Linked DNA regions of Caenorhabditis elegans. The gene in region 1 interacts genetically with each later gene. Each region holds a gene or a part of one and is shown in the gene's direction. Other genes may lie near its edges. The genes, in order: efl-1, lin-40, pptr-2 and F22B3.8.

Region 1 (7,704 bases):
GACTCAATTGCCTTTAAAATGATTTTTCTTTCATTAAAATTGTTGGTAGCCAGCTGTATCAGAAATTCATCAACTTCAGGGTACTTCACCAAGCTCTTCAAGTCCTCCATCAACATTTCAACGTGGTTCCTTCCAGCATGTACTCGGCCACTGTTCTTATATTCAACTTGGCAGGCTCCATCAACTTGCTCATAGGTAACCCCGCCGTAGTTCTCATCGAGAATTAGTCTTGAAAATTTTTCATGAAAATTTACATGAACCGTCTTCAGATTTGGACCGAGGTTATCGATTATTGCTCGGAAGCTGTAGGACACTTTTCGAGCGATTAGCCTGAATTTTCAATGCTTTTTTTCTTTAAAAAAACAAGGAAAACTCACCTTTCCAAAGCTTCCAGATTATTCAAAATTTGTTCAATAAGTTCGATTGGCAAGTCGGAGAGTGATGACATTTTGAGAAATTTGAAGAAAAAATGAAGTGATTTCAACACAGTTCTCTGTGACTAGTGGCCTAGTTGGACAGCGCAGAGACGCAGGCGCACCAGCTGACTAGAGAGTATGAGAATCAGACACCGAAGGTGTTTCAGAACTGGCCGCCAACTTGAACCTGTAAAATGTAGGCACAGCTTGAACCCTTGGCTTTAAATAAAATGTAGTCTTAGTTTGAAACCATGTGTATTCAGACAGGCTTTTCACTGTCTTACTTCCAGAAATTTCAGGAGTCGCATACGAAATTTACGTAGCAGTCATCGAAATTTTAAACAGAAAGCTAAGACCTGCGGCTAAGCCTGAGACTAATTTTAGGCCAAATTTTTGAGCCTAAGCCTAACTATTAGTTAGACCTTCTTATGTATTTGGCGATGGCAAAACGGTAATATCGAAGATTTTCAATTATTTTTGCCATTTTTCAAACAGTTCATGTGTATTCGTATTAAAACATTGTAGGGGTCGAAACATGCGACATTTCTTTAAATTTCCTCAAAAGCTCGTATTCAAAATTTTGGTAAATTGCCAAAAATTTTTTTTTGAAGTTTTATTATGATATTTGATCTTTTTTACACTATTGGAGTAGTTTTTAACACTTTCCCCACTGACGCTACTCCACCTTTAATAACGTGGTGACGTCACAATCTTTTTGTAGATCAAACCGGCATGGGACAGCCTGACACCACGTGAAAATACCAAAGGAGGCGAAATTTTACAAATTCAATTTTTGTTAAAACTGATTTGAGCCCACAAAAACAAAAAAGTGATGGCTAAAAAAAAGTGATGGTTAATTTCACGACACTACTTGAATAACCCCATTTTATCTGAATTTACGGTTTTGCCGCCAAATACCTAACGGGGCCCAATTTTTTTGGGTTCTAACTTTTTTTGTCTTCAAATTCAAATTTCCCCTTATTATACATTCAAAAAACCACGTACTTCTTTCATTTTTATCTTCTCATTCAAGCGAAACTTTTTCCCGCGGAAATTTGAGTGCAAGCGCGCTCCACTGCACCTTTCTCGTCTGCGTCTCCACCTTTCCCATTGTCTCTAATCCGTGACGAAACCTCATCATTTCTCGCATTTTGGAGGGGAATTCAAATTGATTTCTCTTGGTTTTTCTCGTTTTTTCTTGATTTTTCTCGTTTTTCAGCTCATTTTTAACCAAAAAATCGGATTTTTCAACTAAAATTCCGCATTTCAGCCATGGAAGACTCGTACAACGACATGGAAGACCCCGGCTTCCGCCAATTATCTGACATGGAGCTTCAAAAAGCGCTGGAAATGACCAAACAGAGCTCGATAAAGAACAATTTGATGCTCGGGCTCGACAATGAGCTTGACTTTGATTTTGGTACAATATTTGTCGAATTTTAAGCCGAAAACCCCGAAATTTCCAGATTTCGACGAGGATGAGGACCTGGATCAACCACAAATGGGCACACGAGCCGATAAATCGTTGGGATTGTTGGCGAAACGATTTATTCGAATGATTCAGTACTCACCGTATGGAAGATGCGATTTGAACACTGTATTTTTGAAAAAAATCGTGAATTTCGCAATTTTCGTATTTTTTAGGCCGCCGAGGCGCTCAATGTCCGGCAAAAGCGACGAATCTACGATATTACGAATGTTCTCGAAGGAATTGGTCTTATTGAGAAAAGAAGCAAGAATATGATACAGTGGAAGTAAGAAAGTCGAATTTTCAGCAGGAAAAATGACGTTTTTCAATGAATCGGCGGAAAATCGTATTTTAACAAGAAAAATGACATGTTTAGAAAAAAAATCAATTTTGTGTCAAAATATTGATTTTTCAGCTCAAAAAGCTTAAAATGCAAGAAATTTCGGAAAATTTCAGATTTTTACGTGAAAAATCGCATTTTCAGCCAAAAAATGGCGCTTTCCGGCAAAATGGATGAAAATCACATTTTTTGGAATATAGCTCCTATTTCCTGTAAAAATCGATAAATTCGATTTCTAAAACACTAATTTTTGAGATTTTTCACCGAAACAAATCGAATTTTCATATGAAAATTTCATTTTTGACACAAAATCACTTTTTAAAGTTAAATTTTCAATTCAAAGCTCAATTTTGTGGCAAAATCCTTATTTTTCAGCTTAAAAACATGAAAATTGCTGAAAATTTCAGATTTTTACGTGGAAAATCGGGTTTTCAGCCAGAAAACACAAGAAAAGGTCATTTTTAACACAAAATTACATTTTCAAAGCCAATTTTTCTATAATAGCCTCAATTTCGCTCCAATTTCGGTGAAAATCTCTATTTTCCGGCTCAAAAACCGCTTTTTTGCACATTTTTCCCCGGAAAACTCAATTTTTTGTTTTCAGAGGCGGTGATTTTATGCTAAACGTGAAGGAAGGGAAACGACAATCGGCCACAACAGAAGAAGAAGATCGAATGGAACAATTAAAAGCTGAAATTGAGCAATTAAATAAGGAAGAAGAGCTCATTGAGCAACGTCAAAGATGGCTTCAGCAGGTAGCGAATTTCCAGAAAATTTGATGAAAAATTTGCTGAAAATCGATGAAAATTGAGCCAAATTTACGCAAAAATTGGCTGAAAAATGACCAAAAATTTCAGAAAAATTCAGCCGAAAATTGAGAATTATTTGCTGAAAGTCGCTAAAAATTTGATCAAAATTGAGCAAAAACTGGCTAATTTTGATAGAAAATTGAGCAAAAATCACTGGAAATAAGGCTGGAAATTGGAAAAAATTTAACCAAAAAGTCCTGAAAAAAATAGAAAAATTCAGTCGAAAATTCTGGAAAAATATGGCTGAACATCATTAAAAATTGAGCCGAAATTTAGAAATAATGGGGCTGAAAATCGCTGAAAAAAGCTGAAAATTTGACTTAACTTCCTGAAAAATTAGTCTGAAAATCGTTGAAAACTGCTGAAATTTTGCCAAAATTTCCTCCAATTTTCTGAAAAAAATATGGATGAAATTTCGAGAAAATCAAGATAAAAATGGTGCCAAAATGATGAAAATTTTGTAAAATAAATTCTGGAAATTTCGGCTAAAAATTGCTTGAAATTGGTCCAAAACTGCTGAAATTTGGCAGAAAATTTCTTAAAAATTCAGTCAAAACTTCTGGAAAATTCGCTGAAAAATGGTCAAAAATTCATTAAAATTGCGGACAATTTTTCTGAAAATTTATAGGAAATTTCAGGCAATCTGAGCCAAATTTTCCACAATTTTTTTTTGAAATTTTTGGTCAATTTTTCGACAGTTTTAAGCCAAAACCGCTGAAATTCTCAAATTTCAGAGCCTCCGAAACATGACAGAATCCGTGGAGAACAACAAGCTCAGCTATGTGCTCCGTTCACAGCTCGCCGAGATTCAAGGCTCAGATCTTACGATTGGAATTCAAACGAGAGTCGGCACACAAGTTCGGCTCAGTGATCCGGAGGTAGAGAAGAAAATGACGCGAAAATTGGAATTTTCAATGAAAATTTAATGGAAAAACCTGGAAAATTGTGGAAAATTCATATTTTTCTTGGAAAAAACGGGTACAAAACCCGATTTTAACTGAAAAAAACGCTGATTTTTGCTCAAAATTAATTCTTTTTAAGAATTTTCGATGAGAAAAATGAATTTTTTAATTTAAAATACATAAAAAACTAGAAGACTGTCCAAAAACCGAAATTTCTGTCAAAAAAGTGTAAAAACTTCTCCTCGTGGAGTACACGAGCTGCGTAAATCTACGCAATATTTTTCTGTGTTTTTTGTATGCAAATTTGTAAAAAAAATATCAAAAAAATAAATTTTTGGCTGAAAAACGGTGAAACATAATTTTAAACAATATTTAAATACAAATTATTTGTTCTAAAAATTTTTTAAAAATTCTTAAATTTCCCTGATTTTTAGCAAAAATAACGAAAATTCTTCAAAAAATTTGATTTTCTGCTAAAAAAAGTGTAAAAGCCTCCCCTCGGGGAGTACACGGGCTGCGTAAATCTACACAAATAATTTTTTTCAGCTAAAAATTGATAAAACGAAAAAATTAAATAAAAATGTTAAAAAAAAAGAAGAAACTTTTTCAATTTTTAGAAAAAAAAAAGAAAAAAAAAGCTCCTTTTTCCAAAAAAAAGCAGAATTTTTTTTTGTAAATTTCCCAAAATTTGGCGAGTTTTCATTTTTTTTTTGTTGTAAATTTGACGATTTTCGTAAAACTGTCGTAAAATACAAAAAAATAGACTTTTTTTCGAAATATTTTGTTAAAAATCAGAAAAAAAATTTTTTTTAATTGATTTTAAAATTCACAGAATTTTTTTCGATAAATTTCAGAAAATTCCTGAAAAAACTGAAAAAGATTTTCAAAAAAAAAAACGCAATTTTCGCTCTATTTGGCTCTAAAAAACAAGACAATTAAACAAAAATCAGAATAAAAATTTTAAAAAAATTGTTTATAAAATTTTTGATAAATTTTAGAAAATTTCGGAAAAATCTTCTTTTTTTTCAAAAAAAAAATCGAACATTTTCAATTTTTATTTTCCCCCATTTTTTCCAATGAAATTAAAATTGCAGCAAGTCGATTTTTGATCGAAAAAAAGCATTATTTCTATGTGAAATGCATAAAAACCTATTACGGGAACAATAAATCATGAGAATGCGTACTTGGTGCATTTTATTTGACGCGCGATATCTCTTAGCGAAAACTACATACAGTAAATGCTTAAATATCTATTGTTATTTGAGTTCTTACTGTAGTTTTCGCTAAGAGATATCGCGCGTCAAATAAAATGCACCAAGTACGCATTCTCATGATATATTGTTCCCGTAATAGAAGACTGCCCAAAAACTGAATCTTCTGTCAAAAAAGTGTAAAAGCTTGTCCTCGGGGACTACGAGCTGCGTAAATCTACACAATATTTTCCTGTTTTTTTTCTCAATTTTCGCTTTTTTTTTTGTATGCAAATTTGTAAAAAATATCAACAAAAATTTTTTTTTGGCTGAAGAACGACGAAAAATAATTTTAAACAATTTACAAATCATTTGTTCTAAAAAATTTTTTTTAAATCACACTTGTTTCTTAAATTTCCCTGATTTTTAGCAAAAATAACGAACATTCTTCAAAAAATTTGATTTTCTGCTGAAAAAGTGTAAAAGCCTCTCCTCGGGGAGTACACGAGCTGCGTAAATCTACACAAATAATTTTTTTTTTGGATAAAAAATTGATAAAACGAAAAAATTAAATAAAAACGTAAAAAAAAGAAGAAACATTTTCAATTTTTAGAAAAAAAAAAAAGGAAAAAAATGCTCTTTTTTTCCAAAAAAAAAGCAGAATTTTTTTGTAAATTTCCCAAAATTTGGCGAGTTTTCATTTTTTTTTTGTTGTAAATTTGACGATTTTCGTAAAACTGTCGTAAAATACAAAAAAATAGACTTTTTTTCAAAATATTTTGTTAAAAACACAAAATTTTGTAAAAAATCCGAACAAAAATTATTAAAAAATTCATAGAATTTTTTTTGATAAATTTCAAAAAATTCCTGAAAAAACTGAAAAAGATTTTCAAAAAAAAACGCAATTTTCGCTCTATTTGGCTCTAAAAAACAAGACAAATTAAAAAATATCAGAATAAAAATTTTTAAAAAAATTGTTTATAAAATTTTTGATAAATTTTAGAAAATTCCGGAAAAATCTTCTTTTTTTTCAAAAAAAAATTTTCAATTTTTATTTTCCCCCATTTTTTCCAATGAAATTTTAAAAAAATTGCAGAAAGTCGATTTTTGATCGAAAAAAAGCATTATTTCTATGTGAAATGCATAAAAACCTAGAAAACTGTCCAAAAACCGAAATTTCTGCCAAAAAAACTAAAAACTTCTCTTCGGGGACTACACAAGCTGCGTAAATCTACACAAAAAATTTTTGTGTTTTTTTTTTCTCAGTTTTCGCTTTTTTTGTATGCAAATTTGTAAAAAAGTATTTAAAAAATAAATTTTTGGCTGAAAAACGACGAAAAATAAATTCTAAAAATTTACAAATTATTTGTTCTAAAAGATTTTGAAAAAATTACACTTGTTTCTTAAATTCAGCAAAAGCAGAATTTTTTTGTAAATTTCGCACAATTTGGCGGTTTTTTAATGGAAATTTGACGATTTTCATAAAATTGTCGTAAAATACAAAAAAAATAGTTTTTTTTCAAAATATTTTGTTAAAAATCAGAAAAAAAATTTTTTTTAATTGATTTTAAAATTCACAGAATTTTTTTTCGATAAATTTCAGAAAATTCCTGAAAAAACTGAAAAAGATTTTCAAAAAAAAAAACGCAATTTTCGCTCTATTTGGCTCTAAAAAACAAGACAATTAAAAAAAAATCAGAATAAAAATTTTAAAAAAATTGTTTATAAAATTTTTGATAAATTTTAGAAAATTCCGGAAAAAATTTTTTTTTTCAACAAAAAATCGAAAATTTTCAATTTTTATTTTTTCCCCATTTTTTCCAATAAAAAAAATTGCAGCAAGTCGAGATACACGGTGGACCATCTTGGTGTTACCTGAAAGATCCCTCTGGACCCCTCCGAGCCGCCATCGTTTCCAACCATGAGCTACATGATTTTGTACAGAGAGAACGAGCAAAACGGCCTGGTGAAGAGCACGTTGACGCTGATGCTCCAGATGAAATGATGGATGATTCAAGATATCGGAATCGGCGGACGATCAATGATGATGAAATGTTTGGTTTTGAGCAGAAAGGTGCTGCTGAATTGCTGGAAATTTTGCTTATTTTTTAAAGCAGAATTTTGAGAAAAAATGGATTTTTTTCACTGAAAGTAGCTAAAAAATAGCTTAAAAATGAAGAATTTTGAAAAAAAAAATTGGAAAAATCATCATTTTTTCCAAGAAAACACCAAAAAAACTGGACTTTTATGGACGTTTTTTCGAAGCTAAAAAATCCAAAAAATTTACTTTTTCTGATAAAAAACATTTTCCTTTTGTTTTCTGCACCGTTTTCTAGAGTTTTTCGAATCGAAAAATAATTCTCAGATTTTTTCACATGAAAATTTGAAATTTAAGCGAAAAAAACATCAAAACTGTTTTTTAACAAAAAAAATTGAAAAAAAAAACCGGAAAACCTAGAAATCCGCCAAAAAATTTGAGAAAATTTTCACAAAAAAAAGCATAAACTGAATTACATAAAATTCTTTTAAAAATTACAGAAAAACTGGGAAAATTTGGGAAAATTACCTCTTCTTTTTAA
Region 2 (4,837 bases), about 13 Mb from region 1:
GGCATAATTTGAATTGCCATCGTGTTCTGTCGTCTCTTCGATCTGCACACTCTCTCGTTGTCCCACTCTCTGTCACTCTCTCACTCTCTCACTGTGGGGGCCTATAACTCGGCGATGTACTAAATTTGAATGTAGTGTATGCCGCCGCGTTTTTCTGCAATTTATATCGAAAGCGGTCGATATTTTCTCGATCGTCCCGACTTACAAGCCTATTTTGCCCTTTTCAGCCTTGTAGGACTGTTTTGAACTGGATTTTTTCAATTGCATTTCAAAAAAATAGGAAAATCTGAAATTTTGCCGATTTTCTAGCATTTTTAGAATTTTTTGCTACGTTTTCAGTAAGTTTTTATGATTTTTACGTCAAAATTGGCAATTTAGCTGAAATTCATAAATTTCGGCATAAAAATCATAAAAAAACAACGGGAAATTTATCAAAAAATACGAAAAATTCCTGAAAATCGGCAAATTTCCGATTTTGCCGGCAAAATTTTTGATTCCAAGCGGTTTTAAATGGGTTCACTAAATTCTGAGAATGCTGCACAACACATTTGACGAGCAAAATATCTCGTAGCGAAAACTACAGTAATTCTTTAAATGACTACTGTGCGCGCTGGTGTCGATTTACGGGCTTGATTTTCGTAAATCGACACAAGCACTACAGTAGTAATTTAAAGGATTACTGTAGTTTTCTTTTTCGCTACGAGATATTTTGCGCGTCAAATATGTTGTGCAATATGCATTCACTAGAATTTTGTGTTCCCGTAATGGTACCTTTAATAAGTCGGGGGAGCATCCTTCCTGCAGCCTCTTCTCTCTTTTCTTTATATCTCTCGCTCTCTCACTCGTCTCCATTCTGCCCGTCCGTCTGCGTCTCCGTGGTCTCAGTACTATTTCCGACGCTTTAACCATTCTTCCGAGTGACCCCTCCCCACCTATGTCTTCGTCTCTCCCTCTGCTGCTGCTGCTGCTGGACGTTCCTCTTGTTTCTGCGTCTCTCCATGTCTCTCGTTGTCTGAATCTATCCTTTTTTCTAGTTGTCACGGCGATTTATCCGAAAGAGAAGGACCGTTTTCTGGATTTTTTTTGAAATTTAATTTAATTTTTAAAAAACTAATTAATTTCCAATTTTAAAAAATCTATTTTGTTCTTTTTCAAAAAAAATTTTAATAGCGCAAAAAATGCGGATAATTTTTAATTATTTTTTCACTTTTCAGATGATATCGATTTTGTGCACTCAAAAATTATTCGAATTTCTCTATTTTCCGCTTAAAGCTAAAAAATTTCAAAAAATTAATGCTTTTTTTACCGAATTTAGAGTTTTCGCACTGTCTCCTCATTTTTAGTATTTTGGTTATTATCCGGACGCGAAATATTGCGCTTTTTGCTCCAAAAATACGATACCGGGTCTCGACACGACAATTTTTTGTTAAATTCGAACAGGTGTGCGCCTTTAAAGAGTACTATAATTTCAAATTTTCGTTTCCCCGGAATTTCAATCGATTATTCCTAGTTTTTCTGAATTTGAACAAATCGGTGAGAAAGCCTTCGAAAAATCAATAAGAAAAATTCCGCAGAAACGAAAAGTTTGAAATTACAGTACTCTTTAAAGGCGCGCACTTTTTCGCACCACATTTAACAAAAAATTGTCGCTTCGAGACCATTTTTAAAGCAGAAATCGCGAAATTTTGTGCTTTTTGGGCGAAAATGGAGAAATTTAAATAATTTTGATAGCAAAATAAAAACATTTTTTTAATGTAATTTCTCGAATTTTCGACTTTTCGACTAATTCGACTTTTCCCCAAAAAATCCTCCAATTTTTGCAGAGCTTTAACGGGTCACGATGAGCTCATCATCGTTGTCGTCAACATCAACTCGAGTCACGTACGCCGTCGGCGATTTTGTCTATTTCGACGACACGTCGGCCACCGACGCTCCATATCAGATCCGCAAAATCGAGGAGCTTGTCAAGGTTAGATTAGTTGGCTGGAAAAAAAGCCCCAAAAGCCTGAAAAAGCCCAAAATTTCTCAATTTTCAGACAGAAAAGGGCGGCGTGGATGCGCGATGCGTCGTCTACCTCCGACGACGTGACATTCCACAACATTTGCTGAAAATTGCCGATCAAGCGCAGAGGCGATTCGATAATTGTGAGCTTTTCCCCAGCTTACTTTATTTGAAAATATTAAAATTCAATTCAATTTTTTTCAGATTACGAAGTGGATAAGAAGAAGCCCGAGAATTTTACCACAAAAGGATTTATCGTTGTCAATGGAGCTTCTGAAGCTGCTCCAGAAGCTGCTCCAGAAGCCACCGAAGCTTCTGCGGAGACGTCTGAAACAAAAGTGAAGGAAGATACTGATGACGTGGCAGAGAAAATGGAAGAGGACGAAGAATGCCCGGCCCCGGTTGGGCAGGGAAGAACCAGCTCGACTGAGGAGCCATCGGCGTCGGATGCTCCAGCAGCGACCGCAAAGGACAAAAAAGAAGAAAAAGAAGCCAAGGAAAACGCGAAAAACCTCAAGGAGACTGCCGAAGCAGAAGCCACGAAGCTCATTGACTGGGGTGATGGAGGCCTTCCGCTCGGAGTCGACAAGCTCACCCCGGATCAGAGGCTGAAGCTCCGACAGCATGAGATCTTTATGACGAGGCAATCGGAGATCCTTCCAGCAGCGGCGATTCGTGGAAAGTGTCGAGTCGTTCTTCTGGGAGATGGTGAAGAGGCTCAGAACTACCTGCCTCTGGATGATACCTTCTATCATTCCCTTGTCTATGACCCGAATGCGCAGACTTTGCTGGCTGATAAGGGTGCTATTAGGGTTGGCGAGAAGTATCAGGCGGTGGTGGATGAGTGGATGGAGCCCGCCGATCGGGAGGCGAAGGAGGCGAAGGTGCTGGCCGAGAAGGTTAAGAAGGAGGAAGAGGAGGCAAAGTTGAAGGCTGAAGCCGAGGAGGACACTGAGAATGATGGGTTGACGATCGCCGAGGATGAGGAGATGCCGGAGCTGAAGAATGAGGAAAAGGAAGAGACCAAGGTGGAAGAGGAAGCTACCACCACCGATTCCGAAGGTGAAGTAGGTGAAGTCCTCGTCTGGCACCCGCACCACGCTCTCACCGACCGTGACATTGATCAGTACATGATTGTGGCCCGATCAGTCGGCCTATTCGCCCGAGCCATCGATGGAGCTTCCGCGCCGAAGCTTCCGACTCTTCAGCTAGCCGCCGCCTTCGCCTCCCGTGACGTCACCATCTTCCACGCCCACGCGATCCTTCATCAGGCCAACTATGATGTCGGGCAGGCTGTCAAGTACCTGGTCCCAGTGGCCTCTCGAGACACGTACCCGTGCCAGGTCGATGATTCAAGCGGCCTGCAGACTAAGACCCTTGGCGGACCGATTTTGTGTCGGGATCAGCTGGAAGAGTGGTCGACGCCCGAGATGAATCTGTTCGAGGATGCGCTGGATAAGGTGGGCAAGGATTTCAATGAGATCCGCGCCGAGTACCTTCCGTGGAAGTCGATTCGGGACATTGTCGAGTACTATTACCTTATGAAGGCCTCCAATCGATACACAGATCGCAAGAAGAACAAGCCATCGGCGGGTGGTGGAAGCTCGACGACGACGGACGAGAAGTTCACCAACATCTACATTCCGCCGTTCAACAAGCCGATCGCCGCCTCGATTCTTCCGTACAACACTAGCCAGACGACGCTGATGAACAACGACAATCCGTGTGAGAATTGCGGGACGCTGGACGCTCTCAACTGGTATCAGTGGGGAGGTGTCGGCGATAAGAAGGTTCTGTGCTCGACGTGTTGGATTCAGTGGAAGAAGTTCGCCGGGCTCAATCAGAAGCACGAGCTCGAGCGGTTCGACAAGACGCGGCCGCCACCGGTGGAGCCGGTAGCGCCGACGCCAGCGGCCTCAAATGGAACTCCAGCTTCTCAGAAGGCGGCTGCCACGGCGGCGGTGAACACGTTGACTCCACAACAACAGCAGCAGCAGCGCGCTGCCGCCGCCAACATGCTCATGACGCTGAACAGTGGTGATAAGCAGAATTTGTTGAATGTGGCAAAGGAGGCGCTGGCACGTGGCCAAATCACCCAGGAGCAATTTCTACAGCTACAGAAGAATTTCGCTCAGAAAATCCAGGCACAAATTCAACAACAGATTCAGCAGCAGCAACAGCGGCAGGCGCAAACGACGCCGCAAGTGGTCGCAACGCCCAGGGTAAGGATTGGTTGAAAATTGCACGAAAAATCAAAAAAAAAAATTGAAAAACTCAATTTTGGCCAAATTCCCACCAAAATGAGCTACGACCAATAAATGATTCGCTCCGCCCATTTTTCAACCAATCAGCGTCGTCGAATACCGCACATTCCTATGATTGGTTGGAAAATGGGTGGAGCTAATCGCTGATTGGTCGCAGGTCTAATTTCGGAGGAAACTCGGCCAAAATGGTAAAAAGCTCAATTTAGGCTTAATTCTCTTCAAAATGAGAACTGCGACCAATCAGCGATTCGCTCCGCCCAATTTCAAACCAACCAGCGCCGCGCATTCCTCTGATTGGTTGAAAAATGGGCGGAGCTAATCGCTGATTGGTCGCAGGTCTTATTTTGGAGGAAACTCGGCCAAAATGGTAAAAAGCTCAATATAGGCCTAATTCTCTTCAAAATGAGAACTGCGACCAATCAGCGATTCGCTCCGCCCAATTTCAAACCAACCAGCGCCGCACATTCCTCTGATTGGTTGAAAAATGGGCGGAGCTAATCGCTGATTGGTCGTAACTCTCATTATATAGAAAACTGAGCCAAAATCTTTAAAAAACTGCATTTTTTTCGTT
Region 3 (5,758 bases), 5.9 Mb from region 1:
TTCCGCACGTAAGGGACTTTGGGATTTTACGCTGGTTCAATGCCATGCATATACTCACAATAGCCAATTCCTTTGTGCTCTTTGATTTTCAAAACAGAAATATGATGCCAATACTGGCGCCCAGACCCCGGGACAAGATTTCATTTCTTCAACTAGTTTCACCCTCCGTCATCACGTGTCAGTTTTTAACGATTTCTAACAAAAATGTATGTTTTTGTGTCTAGGAACGGCAATGTTGAATATTTTGTTTTTCTAGAGTCTTACTTGTTTCAGCTTCGATGAAACCCGTTTTTTTAAATATAATTGAAAAGTGGATAAAAATTGGTTCATTATAATTAGAGATAGTTTAAAACAATACCCTAAAAATCCCAACAGTTAGAAGGGACTTATTCATTAATTAGTTGCTGGCTAAGTTTTCTATTTATATAATTACTCTCGAAATTTATCAATCGATTCTTGGACTTTTTTGTTCCGCAGACGCCGGCGGAGTTTACAAGCGTACGATGTGGTTCAACTTTTAAAGCTTTATAAATGGGGCATGTATGAATATTTCGAATTCTAAATCTATAATATTAAAACACAAACGCATCTAAATTATTGGTGTCGATAAGTATTTTTCAAGCGGTGAATCATCTGTGTTCACACAAATAACCAGATAAAAATGAATAAAAACATTTTAAGCTTGTTTAGAAAATTAATTAGTTTAAAACTTGATTCAAGACGGCACGATGCTTCTGACCGTTTTTATCCTTTCTAATTTATTTTTTTTATCGTATTACTTGCAATGGCATCACTTGATCACTGAACCTTCAAGGAAAAATAGAATGTTAAATTCAGAAAAAGTCTTAAATCTAGAAAAAAAAAACTCGGTGCACAAAAGTACATCAATTTTTTGTCTGTGATCAGCTACAATTCATTGCATATTCGTATAGAATATATTAAAAAAAGTTCCTAGATTTATTACTCGTTTTTTCACCAGTTATTTCTGCTTTCTTACGAAAACGCCTTTTCTCATTTTGCTTGTCAAAAAACACGCGATATGTGAGCCACAACAGAATTCTAATTGCTTGTTTCTATGTTGGGGGCACCACACAATTTCACCTGTTTTTCAGCAATCCAGCACGACCGCTATTTTCTTTGCTTCATGGGTTCACTTTTGGCAAACCCATAAAATATTTCGTATACTTATATGTCAAGTATTTGTATCTTACGAGTAAGACTGCCAAATTCTTCCTGCTCTCTTTTTTTCATCAGAATCTGATCCTTGACATCGTCTACTCTTTTACTCTCAAAAGAGCAGCAGTAATTGGAAATTGAAGAGGATGAAGCTCGATCTTTAAGGAAAAAACGAGAGAAAAGAAGTGGGCTGGTTAATCGAAAATTGCGCTGAAAAAGCAGAAGACGAGCTGTAGGAAAAAACGACAAAGCGTGGGAAGAGGGACGGCGCCGTTTGCTCCGCGCTTTTTATTTTTCGTCTTCCGATTTCCGAAGTGACGATGGTTTTTAAGTAAAGACAGATGATTTTTCTCATTCATGTAGTGATGTCATTTTTTGTTAGTTAGAGCCACATGGAATTCCATGGTTTTGCATTCCATTAATTCCTCTCCTACAGTTAATCATACTGCTTGAGATTGCATTTATTACATAGGTTACTGTAGTTTTCTAAAAAACAGATTTGGGTGCATATGTGCATGTTATCATGTGTGTTCTCAGTTTTTCCCCGTTGCTTTGAAAACATAATATCTCTTGTCAACAACGTTTTTCCACTTTTGAAACAATGAAAAATGGTCACTTGCTCAGTTTGTTGTCCCTTGTATTCTCTTTTTAATTTTTTAAAGGTCTCTTCATACTTTTATTGAATTTTTCATGTTGTTAATTTCAGGCGGTCGGCTCCGCATCCGCAATGTTGAGATCAAAGAAGAAGGACAAGGAAAATGGGAAATCAGAGAAAAAGGACAAAGAGAAGGATAAGAAATCAATGAAAGATGACGGTGCTGGAAGCAGTAAGGCATCTACAATTCCTACGATCCGAACAGAAGATGTTGGAGGTAAATTAATGTTTTGATTATTCGGGAAAGATGATAACACAAAATTTTAAAAAAGTCAATTTCAATAAAATCTCACGTGAATCTATATTCTTCCACGGTTCTCCGAGAGCATAATTTTTCATCATTTCTTTCTAACCATCGAGTAATTTCAACCATCAACCAAAGATAGCAATGAATAAAATGCCACAGAGATCAAAGAAAAGACGACAGAAAACGAGTAAGTAGTCTAAATTATTTGAGAACATTTAGGAGTAAGAGTGGTTCCTATCGTAGAGTTTTGAGAATTCTTCGAAACGAGCGGAGATCGTTGTGAGACCCTGTGAAGACAATACAGCGAGCCTATAAAGTTTAGATTACGGCGTGTCGAATTTTATCATGAAAACATATACTATTCGGAAACAAAAACAACATGATTCGAGATTAAGGTTTTGATTAGAGTTTTCTTCAGTAAATAATTTTTGAAGCTGTCCTCCCTTTCAGCATCTTATAGTTCTCGAGGTAGGCAGGTTTTTGACCACTTGCATTTTTTTGAATAACTGAAATGGATGCAAAGTATAAATAAGTAGAAATGTATCGGATCTGAAATCAAATGCACTACATTTTATGAAGATATTGAGTGAAAATATTTATCAGTTAGATGGGGGAGGAACAAGCCATCCAACCAACAACAAGAAATCTGTGAGCCCTCAAGGCACACTATTGATGTCCAACTTTTCCACAAACTCCTTCAAACTCTTCTTCTTTTTGCCCCCCCCCCCCCATTTTCTTTATTTCTCACAGAAAAAACGACCTTCTTTCTTCTCTGCGCCTGTCTTGCTCCTTTAGATTTCTTTTCTATCATCAATTTACCCTACTCTTCTTCTATTTCTCGCGTTATTTTGTATCACGGAAGAAGGTATTAGAAATAATTCGAATAGGATAGTTGGAACGGATTAGGACTCCAGCTCAATTAGTTTGATTGTGTTTTTTTGGTTTGTTACGCCTTTCCTGTAGTCTTTTTGCAGCGCATACCAAAGAAAAAAACATTTTAGTGTTCTGGAGAAAATATTATTTTGTTCATAGTAGATATTTTCTTACAAACGCTTAGACATTTCGCTATTTCCCCAACTTCACGAAACAACTTTTGTAGTGTACATTTGAATTTGAATTTCCCGCGTAAATGCTCGACGAGGCCGCAGAAATCGAAAATGGGATAGTTAGTCCACCACTAGTGTACTCCTCTCGGATAAATTTTTTTTTGAATCACAATCATTGATTTTTCCATTTTCGGCCCTCATATTTATCATTTCTAGGAGATATGATTCCTGCAGATGCACCACCACCAACAAATATTGGCCGAACAAACACGTACGGAGGAGGTTAGTGTTTAAACGAAGACTAATTAACTATAGAGACAGATTTAATTTCAGGGCCAGTGATACCGCGAAGAGAGCGCCGCCAATCAAGTAGCATGTTCAACATTTCACAAAACAGAGAGCTGCAAAGACTTCCAGCTATCAAAGGTAATAATGTTTTTTTTAATTACCGTATTGATAAACTCGTTTTTAGATGCGGATCCGAGCGAGAGAGAAACACTGTTCATTCAAAAACTTCGACAATGCTGCGTTGTTTTTGACTTTGCCAATGATGCTCTCAGCGATTTAAAATTCAAAGAAGTCAAACGGGCAGCTCTAAATGAACTCGTCGACCACGTTTCCGGAGCTCCAAAAGGATCGCTATCTGATGCTGTCTATCCAGAAGCTATCGGCATGTTCTCCACTAATCTTTTCCGTCCTTTGAGCCCACCGACCAATCCAATTGGTGCTGAATTTGACCCCGATGAAGACGAACCAACATTAGAAGCTGCCTGGCCACATCTGCAGGTAATATTTATTTTCTGCTCTTATTTAAAGTAAATATTTTCAGCTCGTCTACGAGTTTTTCCTGAGATTCCTGGAGTGCCCCGATTTTCAATCTCAAGTTGCAAAACGTTACATTGATCAAAATTTCATTCTTCGTCTTCTCATGATTATGGACAGTGAAGATCCACGTGAACGTGACTTTCTGAAGACAACTTTACATCGAATTTATGGAAAGTTCCTCGGACATCGTGCTTACATTCGGAAGCAAATCAACAACATTTTCTACTCGTTCATCTACGAAACTGAGAGGCACAACGGGATTGCTGAATTACTCGAGATTCTAGGTAGCATTATCAATGGATTCGCTCTTCCCTTGAAAGAGGAACACAAAACTTTCTTGCTCCGAGTTCTTCTTCCGCTACACAAGGTCAAATCATTATCTGTATATCATCCTCAACTCGCGTACTGTGTCGTACAGTTCATTGAAAAAGACTCATCACTGACAGAGCCTGTAATCAGTGGGATGCTACGCTTCTGGCCAAAACAACATAGTCCCAAGGAAGTGATGTTCCTGAATGAATTGGAAGAAGTCCTCGATGTGATAGAGCCGAATGAGTTCCAAAAAATCATGACTCCATTGTTCTCACAAATTGCTCGCTGTGTCAGCAGTCCACACTTCCAAGTTGCCGAACGAGCTCTCTACTATTGGAATAATGAATATGTGATGTCATTAGTAGCGGACAATGCTCGTGTGATAATTCCAATAATGTTCCCTGTTCTTTTCAAAAACAGCAAGTCACATTGGAATAAAACGATTCATGGACTTATCTACAACGCCCTCAAGATGTTCATGGAAATGAATCAAAAACTGTTTGACGAGTGTTCCCAAGCTTATCAGAAAGATCGAGTTCAAGAAAAGACATTGAATGAAGAAAAAGAACGCATCTGGAACAATATTGAGAAACAGGCAATGGGAAACCCGCAATATGTTGAAGTTAAAGCACTATTTGCTCGATTTAATCCAGATGAAATCATCAGCTCGCGTCAGCAGAATGGAGTTGACGAGAATATGAAGACTTCAACTGTGCTTAGCAAGGATGAAATTCTGAAAAATGCTGTAGGAGTGGTAAGTTACAAAAACCTAGAAATATTTTTTTTTTGTACAATAACGAATCATTACAGAGCTCGATGAAAAACGATATGGATTTCGGACCCAACCACAAACAATCCGATTTCCCTCCAGATGAGCAAACGACGAGAGCTTTAGGCGAGTACAAGCGTCACGATCCATTTTTGAAGAAAGTGACTAGCACCGACGAACAGTGATGCAGAAGACTTCAACGGGTGCCAATTTCTCCATGTTGTGCCGGGTTTATTATACGATGATTCGACTTCCTTACCCAGTTTCCGTTCCTTTCTTAAAATATTGACCATTCCATGACCCTTATCACCGTTTTATTGCTCTCCAAAATTGCCCTTAATCACATCTATGTTTGCGTACCTGTAAATATTTCGAAACTTATTTCAGTTTTATCAATATGCACCATAAATTCCATCTCTCCTCACCATCATCGCAAATCCAAATGCGACTTTTCATTGTGTAATAATTTCCCCCATTTTGGTAGTGATTTGGATTTAGATGTTATAAATGAATCGAGAAGCCATGTGAAATACATTAAAATCTGCATAGGAATAATCATGGGAATATATATTAGGCAGAAGGTTTACGAGGGGTTTGGCTCATTTCATCCAAATCCTTCTTTATATGTTCTTTTTCGAATGCTAACCCCACTCTTTGCACATCAATATGCACTTATGTATGAAATACACGAAATGAGACGAAGGAGCATTATAAGCGTTTAGGAATAA
Region 4 (4,779 bases), on another chromosome or scaffold:
AGCTCGTATTTCTATTTCAAAAACTTGACTCATTTTTAAGTAGTGATGAGATGCAATAACATTAAAATTTAGGTGCTTACGTAATAACCGGGCCAATCGGAAACAAGACGAAATCTAAAACGAACGCATTTGCAAAGTCGAGCTACTGGCTACTAGTGAAGATTTTTAATTTACATCGAGTTGAAAAATAAAGATAAAATAATAAAAATAAAGATGTTTATGATCCATGTTCTTGATTAGGATACATATTATAATACTTCGGAAATGACATACATACATAGGTATGCATACAAGAAGCAATATCGCTTCATTAACAAACTATCCTAGATCATAATTTAAAGAAAAATGTTACACTTTCAGTAATTGGACTTTGTCTCAATTTTTCTCTATTTAATGTATCCTGGCATACAAAGCGTATTATAGAAAAACCGTTTCCGAAAAATTTTAGTTTTTCAGATATTTCGAAAACAATTCGATTTTTGCAAAAATATATTAACATTTTGACCATTTTCCTTTTTTTTCAGAGAAAACATTTCATGTTTTTTCTCATCAAAATGAACAACTTTTGGTAATTTTTTAGTTTTTTTGTTAATTTTCTAAAAAAATTTTTCTTTAACTATAGAAAAAAAATAAAGAATATTGAAATAATTTTAGCGGTTTTGGAAAAAAAAAACATTATCTGCATCGAAATTCGACATAAAAAATATTTGCAAATAAAATTTTCAACTTATTCTTGATAACTTAAAAGCTTAATTACATGGACAATAATATGCAATTGATTTATAATTAAATTGAAAGTTAAAAATAAAAGAATAAAACAGTTAGAACAAATTCTACCATCATGACTTTTACAGAAACTTTGACACGAAAAAACAAAAAACCACAATAAAACGCTGTTCTCTATTATTTCCGCTTTCATCGAACGAAGAAGAAAATCATCCGACAATCGGCAATTCTATGCACGCAAAACATAAAAAGAACTGACAGAGACATGTGCAAAGAGATTTTTTTTAGGGGGAGATTTCTATTGCAATGAGAGAGATAATATCTTGTTTTATAGGTTGCATTTTTACTTTTTTCGGTTTGGTAAGATACACTCAGAACTCACTTTTCTGTTGCATTACTTGGGCTCTTCTTTTGATACATAACGACTCCAAAATTGAGCATTTGATTCTGAAACTATAGAAAAAAAAAAAGATTGGCTAGAAACAAAAATAAAAAGTTAGATTGGAGTTTTTGGAGGGAAACGTTGAGTAGGCGAAACGCCGGAGCTTATCAATCACTATGGGCAGTTGAGTGGAGAGAGATTTGTGATGTGAATAAAATTATAAATAAATTGAAAGTATTTCTGATCCTCTCACTCTCTCTTTCTTTCCTGTTCTCAACATTCACCTCTACTAATCCCCTTTTTCCAGCTCATCACAAGGTTGCTCTTCGTTTTCTGATTTTGTGTGCTCATGGATTACTGTAACATTTCTAGATTTAGATAATGGTAAAGTGTATGGTGAATGGTGACATATCCGAAAACATGAAACTTGAAAATATTAATCTAGTTAAATACTTCTGCCGTTGACATTTGAGACCAGCTATTATAATAATCTCCTTTTTTCCACTCTATAAGCAACAATTTTCAATATTTTGACATCCTGTGAATTGCAAAAAATGAATATATTTTCTAAGGGGTTCGATAGTAGACATGAATTTTTCAGACGTGCTCGCCTGCCTGCTTGCCGCTGATGAAAGGTTTGATAGGAAGATGCTAAATTATGGCAGGAGTAGGAAGTTGTTCCTAACTGTCGAGCAGTGACTTTGCACTTTGTTGTCAGGAAAATTTGGTTTAACCGTTAATCCTTCAGATGAAGTTTGATTCCTGGAAGTTTTCTGAATTTGAGTTGTATCACTGTCTGTATGTTTAAATACATAAACTCCCGTGAAAAAAATTGAAAAAAAAAACAAATACGACGAGGCAAACTTATTTATTTCCCAATATAATTTTACTCAAAATCGTCGTAAAATTTTTGCAATGAAGGTGAGTTGGAGTGCGGGAGTTCGAGCCTGCCTGTACCTGGCTACGCGTCTACCTGAAAATAAAATAAGACATCAGAAATTCTAGAATAAGTTTCCTGCAATGGGTCGCCTGTAGTATGATTATTTAAAAAAAAGACAAATTCGGTATTCCTGGTATAGTAAAATGTAATTTTCAATTTTCAGAAATCTGAGAAAAAAGAATGTAAGAGTGAAACGACCGAAAAGACTGAAAGGACAACAGATGGCAGCAGTATTTCAAACTCAGTTATGATCAATTTTCCGGACGACTCAATGTATCAAAATGTAGAAAAAACTAAAAGCGTTGGAAGGTGAGCAACTTTATCCCAAATATCCCAAAACACTTTTTAATTTCCAGAGTAACTAATGAAATGATTGACAATTATTTATTGAGATACCAATTTTTCCATGGTTTTGTGCTCCAAGAGCTACAACTGATCTTGTTGAAGACGAACGGAGACTTTCTCCTGAGATTGTCGCATCAACCAGAGAAGAATGCGAAGAAGCCGACGACTCCGGACAAAAGTGCCACTGATCCGATTCCACTGACTCGTGTCATTCTTGTTCTGTCCGTCAATATCAGTTTGTTTTATTTTTTGTTTTTTTAACTTCCTAGCAGCTTGGAAACTTATTCAATGAACTTCTCATAAGTTGTCAAGCTGTTGCGGGGAACTTGCCCTCACTGTTCGTTGAAAAACTCTAGATTTTACAATTATGTTCCCTATTCAGCACAAAAAACCGGCACCACACGAAGTTTCTATGGGGATCTGGAGGATGTGAAGAAAGAGAACATGGATATGCATTTGTTTATTGAAGAAACCGCCGGCAAATGGACCTCGTTTTATATTGAGCGGCGATTCAAGTTTCCGACTATTGATGAGCTTATCAACTACTATAAGGTCAACCCGATTTGCTATCACAATGTATGTTTGAGTGCTTTTCTAGCCATTTCCAGACGGTCTTTAATTTTCAGACACGTGTATTCTTGAAACGCCCTATCGTGCTACAAGACTGGGAGCTCCGGGCAGAAGGAATTGATATGACTCCAAAGAAGTTGGGAGAAGGTGCCTTTGGAATAGTCTACTTGGGACGATGGGCACAACCGTTTAGTGTGGATCAGAAGGAGTTTCATAAGTGGTGTGACGTGGCAGTCAAGACGGTGAAAAACGACGATTCGAGGGCGGCTCTTTTGGAAGTGATGCACGAAGCAAGGTTGCAGCTACAGTTGAGACATAAGGTGAGACGATAGATTGAAAATTTAGGCAGAGAAAAATAATTTCAGAATGTTCTCGCATTCCGCGGAGTTTTCCTCCTCAAGAAGCCGATTATGTTGGTCTCCGAGTTTTGTGAAAGTTAGTGGAGTGTTTAGAAAAATTATTTGAAAACCATTTTCCATATGGCTCATTGAAAGACTATCTGCAAAAGAGCAAAGTGAGCGTGGATGAGAAGCTCCGGTTTTGCCTTGGCTCGTCGTGTGGGCTCGAGTACATTCACTTCAAAGGGCTCATTCACCGTGACTTGGCGACTCGGAACATTTTGGTTTCAGCGGATAAGACGGTATTTTTTATATTTTAAAGTTTAACATCGTTTATAATCGAATAATTTAAGCCAAAGATTGCCGATTTCGGTTTGGCAAAGCACGCGAGCTCCTACAAAATGCGAAAAGCCACGAAGATCCCTGTCAGGTACCTTGCTCCAGAGACGTTGAGCTCATTCGTCTATTCCACCAAAACCGATGTCTACACGTTTGGTCTTGTCATCTGGGAAATATTTGCAAACGGACAGGAGCCATATATGAAAGCTCAACCACACCAAGAATGTGTTGCTCCAAAAAATACGCAACTCAGAGGACGTCATATTAAGGAGCTGGTTAGTTCTTTATCTTGATATTTGTTGTAATTGCTTGAAAAGTTCAGATCAGGAAGGAGCTGTTCGTGAAATTCAACCAAGAGGCACCAGTTGCTCTTCAACAATATGTGGCTGCAAAGCTGTTCGTAGTTGATGATAAGAAAAGACCCGATATGCCCGAGGTAGGTGTAACTTCTAATAGTAGTGCACCATATGATGTTTCAGGTATCAACGTTCCTGGGCGACATGTTGAAGGTGGACTTGACAAAGATGAGATACTCGTACAAGATGTAGTTACAAAAATTGATCTACTTGGTGTTTTAAGTTTTAAATAAATTATTTCGACTTGGCACAATATTGAAAACTTGCTCCAAAAAACATTTTTCGGTTTTCGAATAGTTAAAAAAAAAATTTTCTTGAGACTACCTTGAGACTGCCGGTCCGAACGGCAATTACCGCCCACCCCTGATACAAATTCTATACAATTGGGCTCTCAACGAACGACTAACATTTCTTTTTCAGCTTTTAAAAAATAACTGTCTCTGGTGTGAACTTTGATTTCTCGTTTTGCTCAAAACTAGAATGATCGAATTTTCCAGTTTTTCAATATTGAAAATTTAAGGGGAGTAGGTCTTTTAGCCATGACGCAAACTGCAATTTCAAACTTCAGTTTCATTTTTGCAATGTGAAGGTTTGCATCATTAAACACATCATTTCTAGAAACTAAACTTCAAAATACCTTGGGACACATTTGAACCACTGGATCATAATTATTTCTGTCTACTTCATTTTACGAATTTCTCGAATTGCTAGAAAATGACCATGAATAGCCATTAAGACTGTATCATATTTTCACACGAAATACCGATTTTTACAGACCTATTT

What was found.
Region 2: of efl-1 (region 1) and lin-40, changing one enhances a phenotype caused by changing the other (phenotypic enhancement), as found in Caenorhabditis elegans (one large-scale study listed by BioGRID).
Region 3: of efl-1 (region 1) and pptr-2, changing one enhances a phenotype caused by changing the other (phenotypic enhancement), as found in Caenorhabditis elegans (one large-scale study listed by BioGRID).
Region 4: of efl-1 (region 1) and F22B3.8, changing one enhances a phenotype caused by changing the other (phenotypic enhancement), as found in Caenorhabditis elegans (one large-scale study listed by BioGRID).

Annotation. Positions count from the first base shown.
Region 1 is NC_003283.11:16,959,658-16,967,361, reverse strand, and holds the start of efl-1 (E2F/DP family winged-helix DNA-binding domain-containing protein), read left to right. Parts: upstream 1-1,686; 5' UTR 1,687-1,688; coding exon 1,689-1,836; intron 1,837-1,882; coding exon 1,883-2,013; intron 2,014-2,060; coding exon 2,061-2,170; intron 2,171-2,828; coding exon 2,829-2,979; intron 2,980-3,767; coding exon 3,768-3,911; intron 3,912-6,964; coding exon 6,965-7,199; intron 7,200-7,704. Other genes in the region: fbxa-90 (F-box domain-containing protein), read right to left, coding at 1-330, 378-448.
Region 2 is NC_003283.11:3,703,172-3,708,008, forward strand, and holds the start of lin-40 (DIOX_N domain-containing protein), read left to right. Parts: upstream 1-1,823; 5' UTR 1,824-1,840; coding exon 1,841-1,969; intron 1,970-2,036; coding exon 2,037-2,145; intron 2,146-2,206; coding exon 2,207-4,224; intron 4,225-4,837.
Region 3 is NC_003283.11:11,026,970-11,032,727, reverse strand, and holds pptr-2 (Serine/threonine protein phosphatase 2A regulatory subunit), read left to right. Parts: upstream 1-1,903; coding exon 1,904-2,048; intron 2,049-2,219; coding exon of another isoform or gene 2,220-2,265; intron 2,266-2,807; exon of another isoform or gene 2,808-2,923; intron 2,924-2,943; exon of another isoform or gene 2,944-3,084; intron 3,085-3,340; coding exon 3,341-3,406; intron 3,407-3,445; coding exon of another isoform or gene 3,446-3,457; coding exon 3,458-3,550; intron 3,551-3,596; coding exon 3,597-3,910; intron 3,911-3,953; coding exon 3,954-5,015; intron 5,016-5,071; coding exon 5,072-5,215; downstream 5,216-5,758.
Region 4 is NC_003282.8:11,422,130-11,426,908, reverse strand, and holds F22B3.8 (Tyrosine-protein kinase), read left to right. Parts: upstream 1-1,978; 5' UTR 1,979-2,023; coding exon 2,024-2,029; intron 2,030-2,211; coding exon 2,212-2,357; intron 2,358-2,404; coding exon 2,405-2,628; intron 2,629-2,775; coding exon 2,776-2,969; intron 2,970-3,019; coding exon 3,020-3,283; intron 3,284-3,328; coding exon 3,329-3,398; intron 3,399-3,457; coding exon 3,458-3,603; intron 3,604-3,654; coding exon 3,655-3,915; intron 3,916-3,962; coding exon 3,963-4,076; intron 4,077-4,119; coding exon 4,120-4,188; 3' UTR 4,189-4,232; downstream 4,233-4,779. Other genes in the region: kin-4 (non-specific serine/threonine protein kinase), read right to left, coding at 1,109-1,167.